3 linked regions of the Macaca mulatta genome follow. The protein of the gene in region 2 interacts with the protein of the main gene of each other region in a pairwise test. Links are inferred from orthologs where the notes say so. Each region holds a gene or a part of one and is shown on either strand. Other genes may lie near its edges.

What was found.
Region 1: the proteins of FOXR1 (region 2) and PPCDC interact in binary tests that used the Homo sapiens proteins (3 or more experiments, as listed by UniProt). The two-hybrid records come from large-scale screens. The link is inferred for Macaca mulatta from reciprocal best matches to the Homo sapiens genes FOXR1 and PPCDC.
Region 3: the proteins of FOXR1 (region 2) and BANP interact in binary tests that used the Homo sapiens proteins (3 or more experiments, as listed by UniProt). The two-hybrid records come from large-scale screens. The link is inferred for Macaca mulatta from reciprocal best matches to the Homo sapiens genes FOXR1 and BANP.

Annotation. Positions count from the first base shown.
Region 1 is NC_133412.1:52,997,728-53,001,373, forward strand, and holds part of PPCDC (phosphopantothenoylcysteine decarboxylase), read left to right. Parts: exon of another isoform or gene 1-357; intron 358-949; exon of another isoform or gene 950-1,113; coding exon 1,114-1,209; exon of another isoform or gene 1,210-2,011; intron 2,012-2,045; coding exon 2,046-2,174; intron 2,175-3,646. UniProt on the Homo sapiens protein: Catalyzes the decarboxylation of the cysteine moiety of 4-phosphopantothenoylcysteine to form 4'-phosphopantotheine and this reaction forms part of the biosynthesis of coenzyme A.
Region 2 is NC_133419.1:119,666,525-119,670,170, forward strand, and holds part of FOXR1 (forkhead box protein R1), read left to right. Parts: intron 1-2,140; coding exon 2,141-2,215; intron 2,216-2,318; coding exon 2,319-2,566; intron 2,567-2,803; coding exon 2,804-3,030; intron 3,031-3,646. UniProt on the Homo sapiens protein: Transcription factor which acts as both an activator and a repressor.
Region 3 is NC_133425.1:83,425,326-83,428,971, reverse strand, and holds part of BANP (protein BANP), read right to left. Parts: intron 3,035-3,646; coding exon 2,963-3,034; coding exon of another isoform or gene 2,923-2,962; intron 379-2,922; coding exon 340-378; exon of another isoform or gene 1-339. UniProt on the Homo sapiens protein: Controls V(D)J recombination during T-cell development by repressing T-cell receptor (TCR) beta enhancer function. Binds to scaffold/matrix attachment region beta (S/MARbeta), an ATC-rich DNA sequence located upstream of the TCR beta enhancer.

The sequences.
Region 1 (3,646 bases), on a different chromosome or scaffold from region 2:
TTGTTTTACAGGCTGGGTGCGGTGGCTCACACCTGTAATCGTAGCACTTTGGGAGACTGGGGTGGGCTCACACCTGTAATCGTAGCACTTTGGGAGACTCGGGTGGGTGGATCACCTGAGGTCAGGAGTTTGAGACCAGCCTGGCCAACATGGTGAAAAACCTCGTCTCTACTAAAAACGCAAAAATTAGCTGGATGTGGTGGTGTGCACCTGTAATCCCAGCTACTTGGGAGGCTGAGGCAGGAGAATCTCTTGAACCTGGGGGCGGAGATTGTGGTGAGCCGAGATCATGCCACTGCACTCCAGCCTGGGCGACAGAATGAGACTCCATCTCAAAAAAAAAAAAAAAAAAAAAATTCTTGTTTTACAAATGATGACCAACCCATCTAGTGCCCTTCACACTCCTGGGTGCTGTTTCTCACAGCCATGTGTTCTGTTAAGCAGATTGCAGGCAGCCCTGGTTTGCATTAGTAATTTCTTAGTGAATGGGTAGTGTGCGGGTAAACCTCATTCTCACCCCATGAGTGTAGGGCACACACAAGCTGGGTTTTCCAGGAGCCTGTCTGCAGCCTGTGCCCATGTTCCTAGAAGTACGTGAAGGGACACTGTCTGCCTTCTCTTGGGGGCGTGCATGCACAGAGGACATGCTGTGCCTCAGCCCCCAGTGCCTTGGCCTGCAGAGGGCAGGGCTGCTGTGTGGCACAGAACTCAGGACCTATGAGCCTCCTTGGGTGGCCCCTCCTGCCTGCTGTGGCCTCTGCAGCCCTGGCCTTGACTTCCTTTCCTGTCACTTGCGTGCCTCTGCCCCTGGGCCTCCCTCTGCCCGAGTGGCAGGAGCTTGCAGCTTTGTATATATGGGCAGTTGGTGACTCATTCCTCAGCAGCCCCTCAGATAGGGAAGTGAAACAGCCACACCTGGTAGGGCCTGACCTTTGGGTGACAGCAGAAGTAGCTAAGCAGACATGGGGCTTGCAGCTAAGGAGGGAAGTCTTCTCTAAAGCCAGCCTGTGAAGACAGCACTTGCCTGCCCTGACCCTCCTGTGACCTCCAGGCCTGTGACTCTGGTAACAGTTTCTTCCTCCCTCCCCACCACCCCCTTTTTCTTGGTGACAGCTGGAAGTAGCAGTGGTCACAACTGAGAGAGCCAAACATTTCTACAGCCCCCAGGACATTCCTGTCACCCTCTACAGCGATGCTGATGAATGGGAGGTCAGTGCTGGGGGCTCCTGGGCTGAGTCCCGTTGACTTTCCACCAGCAGGACAGAGCAGTCCTCCCTGCAGCCTATGGTCTGGCAGCTGGAACAGACAGGCTGGGCTCAAATCCACGGTCAGGGCCCTCTGGGCAGAGGCAATGAAGAAAACATCTGTCTAGCTTCTGGCCTGCAGGAGGCCCTAGTCTCCTCCCAGCCCAGGCGGAGCTGGGCTTTGGCCTGGTGCCTGAGGTTGAGTGTCCTTGTACTTATCTGGGCTGATGAAACCACAGAGGAGCTCTGTTCCCACCACCCTTGTCCACGTGGCTCCTGGCGTCAGGGCTAAAGAGAACGCCTCACTTCCCACGGCCACTGGGCTCTGCTGCATCTCCCCTGCGGATGGGTGGGCACTGGCTGATTCACCAGACACTGAGTGTGGGCCTCACAGGGGTTCCCTGCCAGGCATTTCCAAACATTCTCAGCCTAGAACATTTCCGGCTGGTCTGTCTTCCCTGCCCCCACCCCCTCCATTTCTCACTGCCCCAGAGCCTTCCACTGGCTTGGACAACCCAAGCATCCGCCTCAAGCAGACAGGCCGGGAGCTCCCTGCCAGATGTCAGTTCTCTTGAAAGCCAAACCGTGAAGGGAGTAGCTCAGAGAGACAAGGGGCGCTTGTTTCCTCTGGCCTGGTTCTCTCGGCTGCTGGCTCCATGGCTAGTGCTCGCCAGCTTAGCTGCAGGAGGGAACGGAGGTTGGCCTGGGCAGGGCAGGTCAGTGGGCTTCTCAGTCTCCTCGCCTGCCTTGGCGCTGCATCCCACTTCCTCCACACTGACCCCTTTTTCTTCCCTCTGCCAGATGTGGAAGAGCCGCTCTGACCCAGTTCTGCACATTGACCTGCGGAGGTGGGCAGACCTCCTGCTGGTGGCTCCTCTTGATGCCAACACGCTGGGGAAGGTGGCCAGTGGCATCTGTGACAACTTGCTTGTGAGTGATGCCCTGGTGCCCTTGTCCCTCCCTGGGCTTCACTCCCAGTTTGCTGAGCTGCAGACATCCTTGTACAAGGAGACCTGCTGCTGTGGGGCCCCAGTCTACTCAGGGAGATCATGCTCTCCCATTCCCCCCATCGCCCCCTAGTCATCTCACCTTCTCTCCAGCACGTGGGCACAGCCCTGGTCCTGATGGGTCAGCTTGACCTACTGCTGCTCCCCAGGAGTGTCCCCTTCTCCCCTGCCCTTGGCATCCAGCCAGGTGCCCACAAGCAGACCCTCGTTCCTTGTTCTTTGTCCCTCTCTGTGGGCTGCCTGGATGTGCTCTTCCACTGTTTCTGCCCAGCCCCATCACCTCCTGCTTCTGCCTTCTCCCCAGATCAGGGTATACACGTGGGCAATGTGATTGGGGATTCACTTCTTCATAGATGTCTCATACACTTTATTGCCCTTGTAGTGTTCCTATATATTACGGGAAGCTTAGAGGGGAAGAGGGGAGAAAGATAGGGGCAGTGGCGAGAGCCGATGGGTGGTAGGGAGAAATGGAAGTCCAGCTGTCCAAAGTGGGCGCTGTCCTAGGCCTAAGATGCCTCCAGGGAGCTGTTGCCCGTAAAGGGGAGCTGCCTTTGTTTATATAATCGTTCTGGGAAGATTTGGGTGTGATTTCTCTCCTCCCTCTCCCTTATTGCCACCCCTCACCTCATTTATTGAGCTTTCGCCTACCACGTACTGGGATCTATGCTGAGAGCCTCACAGGACACGGAGCTCCCAGGCTGGAAGGAGAATGCCACGCTTGATCACCCATGGCAGTGGGAAGGGAGTATCCTCTGGTGAGGACTACAGTCCTGAATGACCCCAGTCAGTCCTTTGACTATGGAGTCACCACCTTGCATAGTGCTGGGCCTGTGGTAGACATCCAGTAAATACTGCATGTATGGGGTAGCTAGCAGTTTTACTTTTGCAAGTAGCTGGGAGTTTTTCAGAGTTTCATGTGGTGAAGAAGGTGGATAATGAAGCTGGGACAGGATGTTTTTTGGGGTCACAGATTAGTGTTCTTGTATACTTGTCAATGGGCTCTAAAGGCACTCCTCAAAGAATCTGCCAGTGATTTAAGCATCATTTGAATAAGAGCACAGAGTGAGCAGAAGAACAACTTGTGTGGCCAGGAACAGGGGAAGGGAGTGCAGAGAAGAGAGCCTGGGAGTAATGTCATCAGGAAGACTTTCCCTATAGTCCCAGCTACTTGGGAGGCTGAGGTGGGAGGATCGCTTAAGCCCAGGAGTTCTAGGCTGCAGTGCCCCTTGATTGTGACTGTGAATAGCCAGAATAGCCAGTGTGGTCCACCCTGGGCAACATAGCGAGACCCTGTCTCTATTGAAAAAAAAAAAGAAAGGGCCGGGGATGGTGGCTCATGCCTGTAATCCCAGCACTTTGGGAGGCTGAGGCAGGAAAATCTATTGAGCCCAGGAG
Region 2 (3,646 bases):
AAGTAATCCACCTGCCTTGGCCTCCCAAAGTGCTGGGATTACAGGTATCAGCCACCGCACCTGGCCAAACTTTAATTTTTGTACTATAATATGTGCATAAAACTTATAGATTCATTTTAGGGTAACTGGCATCTTAATAGTATGTATTATAAGTCTTTGTTCAAGTCTTTTAAGTTATTTATTTCAGGCCGGGCGCGGTGGCTCAAGCCTGTAATCCCAGCACTTTGGGAGGCCGAGACGGGTGGATCACGAGGTCAGGAGATCGAGACCATCCTGGCGAACACCGTGAAACCCCGTCTCTACTAAAAAATACAAAAAACTAGCCGGGCGAGGTGGCGGGCGCCTGTAGTCCCAGCTACTCGGGAGGCTGAGGCAGGAGAATGGCGTAAACCTGGGAGGCGGAGCTTGCAGTGAGCTGAGATCCGGCCACTGCACTCCAGCCCGGGCTACAGAGCGAGACTCCGCCTCAAAAAAAAAAAAAAAAGGGCCGGGCGCGGTGGCTCAAGCCTGTAATCCCAGCACTTTGGGAGGCCGAGACGGGCGGATCACGAGGTCAGGAGATCAAGACCATCCTGGCTAACACGGTGAAACCCCGTCTCTACTAAAAATACAAAAAACTAGCCAGGCGAGGTGGCGGGCGCCTGTAGTCCCAGCTACTCCGGAGGCTGAGGCAGGAGAATGGCGCAAACCCGGGAGGCGGAGCTTGCAGTGAGCTGAGATCCGGCCACTGCACTCCAGCCCGGGCTACAGAGCAAGACTCCGTCTCAAAAAAAAAAAAAAAAAAAAAAAGTTATTTATTTCAGAGCTGAGATGGGAGGATTGCTTGAGCTGGGAGGTGGAGATTGCAGTGAGCCAATGTCACACCACTGCACTCCAGCATGGGCAACCAAGCAAGACCGCGTCTCAAAAAAAAAAAAAAAAAAAAAACCCTATGTTTATATCTTTTGCTACTTTTTCCTTTTTTGAGTACTATGTTGAATATTAGCAACCTAATAGGCATCCTCTCTAATTAAGCTCTCCGATAAGTATGTCATTTCCCAAACAAAAGCCTAGATTCATCTGTAATATAATGACACTCATAGTGACAGTGAGGGGGCAAAAATAGTTTTTGTCCTGAACAATCAGTTAATGGTGGTGCCACTTGCTGAGACAAAGAATACAGGAAGGCTAGGCATGGTGGTTCACGCCTGTAATCCCATTTTGGGAGCCTGAACAGGAGGATTGCTTGAGCCCAGGGGTTCAAGACCAGCCCAGGCAACAACATAGTGAGACCCTCATCTATACAAAAAATACAAAAATTAGGCCGGGCGCGGTGGCTCATACCTGTAATCCCAGCACTTTGAGAGGCTGAGGCTGGTGGATCATGAGGTCAGGAGTTAGACACCAGCGTGGCCAATATGGTGAAAGCTCTACTAAAAATACAAAAATTACCCGGGCGTGGTGGCAGGCACCTGTAATCTCAGCTACTCGGGAGGCTGAGGCAGGAGAATCACTCGAATCCGGGAGGCGGAGGTTGCAGTGAGCCAAGATCACGCCACTACACTCCAGCCTGGGTGACAGAGCAAGACTCCATCTGGAAAAAAAAAAAATTGCAAAAATTAATGGGGCGTAGTGGCATGCACCTGTAGTTCCAGCTACTTGGGAGGCTGAGGTGGGAGGATCTCTTGAGCACACCACTGCACTCCAGCCTGTGCAACACAGCAAGACCCTGTCTCAGAAAAAAACAAGAATACAGGAGGAAGAGCAACAAGATGGAATTCAGTTTTAGAAGCCGTCTGAAGTGCCTGTGGGCTACCCAAGTAAAGATATCCAGTAAGTAGTTCTCCTTAAGGGCTAGCACAGAATGCTAGGCTAGAGGTGAAGATTTGAGAGCTCTACATTTTTTTTATAGATGTTAACTGAAGCCACGGGCATGCAGGAGATCAATTCAGGGACAGTATATGTAGAGTGAGAAGAAAAGAATGCAGAGGGGAATGAGAAGGTCAGAGAGGTAAAGGGAAAACCAGTAGAAGTACAATGTGATGTTAACTCCCCAGGCAGGGCCCACAATACCTTCTCCCAGAGAAGCCTTAATGCCTAGGATCCTAGGGTCACAAAGGGATATCCTAGGATGTTTTGACTCTCTCTTTCTTTTTGCCAGTTGCCAGGTATAAACTCCGAATTGTTAAGCCACCAAAATTACCCCTAGAGAAAAAACCCAACCCTGATAAGGATGGTAAGTATTGAGTTCTCTGACCTGTTTCTGTGACCTGGGCTGGAGACCAGGGGCACCCAAAGCCAGTGGGCTGCAGCACACAATCTCCTTTTGTTCTGCACAGGTCCAGATTATGAACCCAACCTCTGGATGTGGGTAAACCCCAACATCGTGTATCCCCCTGGAAAACTGGAGGTCCCAGGACCTAGGAAGAGGGAGGATCTGACAAGCACACTTCCCTTGTCTCAGCCACCACAGAAGGAGGAAGATGCCAGCTGCTCAGAAGCCACAGGGGTGGAATCACTGTCCCGGTCCTCCAGCAAGTGGTCTCCCCCTCGGAAGCGCTTTGCCTTTTCCCCCAGCACCTGGGAGGTATGGATCTCTGGGGGTGGGAGCCGGACTTGGGCAGTAGGTGAGGGGCATGGGGAAGAGCCATCACAATTCTGCTCTCTTAGCCATAGCAAAAGGCGAATGGGTTCAGAAATTACCTTCATGCTTGGGTTGGGGAGAAGCCCAGATGGTGGCCTTAGACCACCCCCCCTTCCTGCCACTGCACCCTGGAGTAGAGGCTGAGGAGTCAGGACCAGTTCCTACTCTGTGCTCCTCTAGCTCACAGAAGAGGAGGAGGCTGAGGACCAGGAAGACAGCTCCTCTGTGGCTCTCCCATCCCCTCACAAAAGGGCCCCCCTCCAGAGTCGGAGGCTTCGGCAAGCCAGCAGCCAGGCGGGGAGGCTCTGGTCCCGGCCCCCTCTCAATTACTTCCACCTAATTGCCCTGGCATTAAGAAACAGTCCCCCCTGTGGCCTCAACGTGCAACAGATCTACAGTTTCACTCGGTATGTGCCGGGGGCCCTGTGAGGAGGGGGAAGTGGGGGCCAGGGCCCTGGGCTGATGCCTTCCAATCCATCCCAGGCCCTGGGTTGCTGACCTGGTTTCCCTATCTGGGTCTGAGAGGACGAGTATGTTCCCAGTTCCCTTTTCCCAGGCACATTTGTGCCCACATGTGTACAGGAACATATCCATTCCCAGCCCTTTTCACATCTAAAGAACCCTCCAACCTTTTTATGACTTTAGTTCTTTTTTTCTTTTTCTTTTTTTTTTTTTCTTTTTAACTAGTTTTCAGTGCTCTTTGGGTATAGTTCTCCTTTAAAACATAAATTCACTTGGGTCAGGTAACAGTTTTCCACCATCCTCTGAAGATGAGCCAGTCTAAAGTCAGGTTCCCCAACAGTTCCCACCTGCTTCTGCTAGGACTGGACTGCCTGGCACAGCTCCCTGCACCCCCAGGGGTGCAGGGAACCCAGTTGAGAAGGGTTTTCCATTTAGCTCAGAAAGTTCTGCTCACATGAGTGCGAGGGAGTTTGTTGGGCCCTTTCCCAGTGTTAGGAAAAGTGCCTAATGTCTCAGAATAGGCATTTTCAAGTGGTTTCCGTCCTCGATCAAGATTCCTCT
Region 3 (3,646 bases), on a different chromosome or scaffold from region 2:
CAGAGGGGCTGTGGCGCTCACCTGACCATCCGCCCCCTCCCATGAGAGCCCCACCCCTTGGCAGCGCAATGCCCACGTGTGTGTGGAGACCAGGGCACACACCTGACCGTCCCACCCCATCCTGTGAGAGCCCCACCCCTCCGCAGCGCAATGCCTGTGTATATGTATAAGGACTGGGGTAGCTCACCTGACCGTCCCACCCCCTCCCATGAGAGCCCCATCCCTTGGCAGCGCAATGCCCACATGTACATGGGGACCACGGCACTCACCTGACCGTCCCACCCCCTCCTGTGAGAGCCCAACCCCTCAGCAGTGCAACTCCCGCACTGGGACACTCACCTGACCATCCTGCCCCACGTGATGGATCTGGAGGTTGCCCTGCAAAGAATGAGAGGAGGAGACGGTCATGAGCAGAAACACGCCAAGACACCCGTAGACTCGGCAAACACGCCAACACACATCACGGGCCATTTGAGAATAACAAGAAAAACACTGGTTCTAAAAATTCAACCTCTAGTAGCAACAAAAGCTCCAAAATAAAATATTTATATTTTTAGGTACTATTTATTATCTTAAAGGTGAACAAACAACTCAAAAAGCACTGTACCCATTCCCCCACCCTGACCCCAAATGAAAATGTCATTTTGGCTTCATTTTTTATTTTGAAAGAATTTGACTCACAAAAAGTACAGAAAGTAGCAGAGAGAGGTCCTATGTGTGTGCCGCCCAGCTGCCCCCAGTGAGGACGCTTTGCTGAGCTGTGCGGCATCACCATGCCAGGACATGGGCCGCACACGAGGAACCAGCTCACTCAACCACGGAGCTACCAAGAGCTCTCCAGCTAGAAACTCGCTTTCATTTGTTGTAAAAAGGAACTGTTTTAAGACTGTTAGACCCTGCTAAACGTTTATTTGCAGATATCCTGTTTTAACAAAATAATTTCAAATGAACACGGTATGAATTTACGGTGGAGACTGCATACTGTCACTTATCACAAAGCCATCGTTAGCATTATCAGCAATTTCTAACTTACTGCATTCAAATCTTAATGAAAACAAAAGATCACCTATACAAGATGGATTCAGTTTTGAAAACTGAAAAGAGGAAAAACTAGTAATAAAAAATTGCATTCGAGTAGTCAAGATTTTTTAGCATAAACTATAAAAAGCAAATGTGTGTTTTTTCTTTTGCTGCTGTTTCAATTTTCCTTCATTTCCAATGACTCTAAGGAAATTAAGCATTCCGACGCACTGCATGGACTTCCAGGTATTCAAGAACTCTGGCTGAGCTCTCTGACAGTGACCTCAGCCTCCAGCCCCCACTTGTCTGTGCCTTGAGAAGCAAACCTTCCCCTGCCCTTCAAAGGCAGCTCCTGCACTGGAAGGTGCTGCTGGGATCCTGCACCTCGCAGCCGCTCAGGCCCCCGACTCCTGCACCTGACCGCACTGAGCCGACTAGTGCCATCTCCCGGCATCTCCACAGAGATGGTCCCTGACCCACCCACAGACACAGAACCAGGCCCTGCTCCTTCCTGGACACTCTGGCCTCCCGGGACCGTCCCCCACCTGCCCCCCACCCCGGTGCTTCCTTCCATCCATCCATCTGACCACATGTTTCTTAGTGACCTGGTCATCTTGCTGTGTGGATGAGCCCACTCATTCCCAGTCGCTTACGGCCCCCACAAGAATTCGTTCCTCCCCTTTCACCTCATCCTGATTCCACCCTCGGAATGCTTATGCATGTGCTCCTCTCTCAGGATAACCCACTGGGAACTGCTGGTGTCCAAATTAAAGCCACCGCCAGCAGACACATCTGAGTCCCTGGGGCTCCTCCTGCCACGGCATGCATGTGTCCACAGTCTTGCTCATGGGCACTTGGGCAGGAGCCTCTGCGCCCACCGTGAATCTCCGAAGGCAGAGCTTCTCTCTCCTCCGCTCCCCAACAGCACCTGCACCCAGCACGAGCTCCCGGGAGGCCTCGCATGCTAACATCTCCATGAGTCCCCTCGACCTCAGCATCCGAGCTTCCTAGACTCTGCTGCTGGTGTGTGTGGAGAAACCTGAGATCTTTGTAACGACACACTGTCGTGCACCAAACACAACGCTGGTGCTATTGTCACGACCTAGAAACAGCCATGTTCCTCATCCCCCAGAGCGCACCACGGTCACTCAGTACAACACGTGTGTGCTGCTTAGTGCCCTGCGCCTGCTGCTGCCCGTGCTGTAGGAAACAGCCCAGAGTCGAAGGACAGTCACCAGCCACCCAGGAGACAGTCCTGCTGTGGCACGCAAACACGGAGCACCGCAACCGGCCAGCCTCGGCTTTCCAAGAACTCAGACTGTCACTCCTGCCTTCACATTCCAGACCCCAACAGCAGCTGAGCCCACACTTCTGAGTGCATGGCCAGGCAGAGCTCCAGAAATGGAGACAGCGGAGATAATCACAGACCTGGCAGGTGCGCCAAGGGCTATTCCCAGCTCTCAGGACTGGCAGCATCACCTCATGGGATTCCCCACCGTCCCATGAAATCGGCACTAATCCCACAGAGGCCACGAGGAAGCTGGGGCCACATGGCAGGTGAGGGGCTATGTCAGGTCACCTGTGCAGGGGTAGACCACACCTTAGCCACACTGGGGGCCTCCCCTGGCAGGAAGGACAGGGCCGGACAGGGAGAGAAGGGTACTCAGAGGGCACTTCCAGCCAGGAACAGAAACGTCAACCCAGGAGATCTTTACCAAGACAGACCAGAAGCTGTGGAGACCAACAGACAGGAGGGGAGGCAGTGAGGCCACAGAGACTGCAGGCCCGCCACGTGCACCCTGGAAGCAGAGTCCTGAAGCCCTTGCCCACGTTCCCCGTCCTCTGGGGCTCCCGGCTGCCCTCGCACTGTGACACCGATGAAGGTCGAGAGCACGCGGGCACCGTGCCTGCAGGGACAGTGCTGCAGCAAGAGGTGACTCACCTCGCTGTCCTGCGTGATCTGGACTTGCTCCCCCTGCGGCACCTGGGCGATGTGGAGGTGTCCCTGTGGGATCCGCAGCAAGAGAAGACACCAAGAAGCATCAGAAGAAAATCAAAAGCAAAGGAAACAAGAAACGTCTTCCGGAATGTTTGTTCTTATCTGCTTATAATTCAAAAAGATAACTGAATCCTGGATAGTGCAATACAGTCTGTGGTCACCTCTTTAAATTAAGCTTTTGGTTCACAGCAGTCCCCCTCATCCATGAGGGTTTTGTTTCAAGAAGCACCCCTCCCCCCACTATGTGGACACCAGAAACCGTGGATGGTGCTGAACCCCGTATATGCTATGCTTTCTCCTGCCCATACGTGCCACACAGCTTGGACATGCTGGACAAAGGAAGGACTCAGTCCTGGATGGGACAGAGCAGGACGACCAGATTTCATCATACTACTACCCAGAAGAATATGCAATCTGAAACTTACAAATTGTTTATTTCTGGAATTTCTCATCTAATATTTTCAGATCACAGTTGACCATGGGTAATTAAAACCTGGGAAAGTGGAGGCATGGGTAAGGGGGGGCTACTGTGTAATATACACAAAACATCTTCCAGTACTTCACAAAGGAGCAATAGGTCCCAGGAAAGATATTTACATCTTTACATGTTACTAAACAAGTAAATTT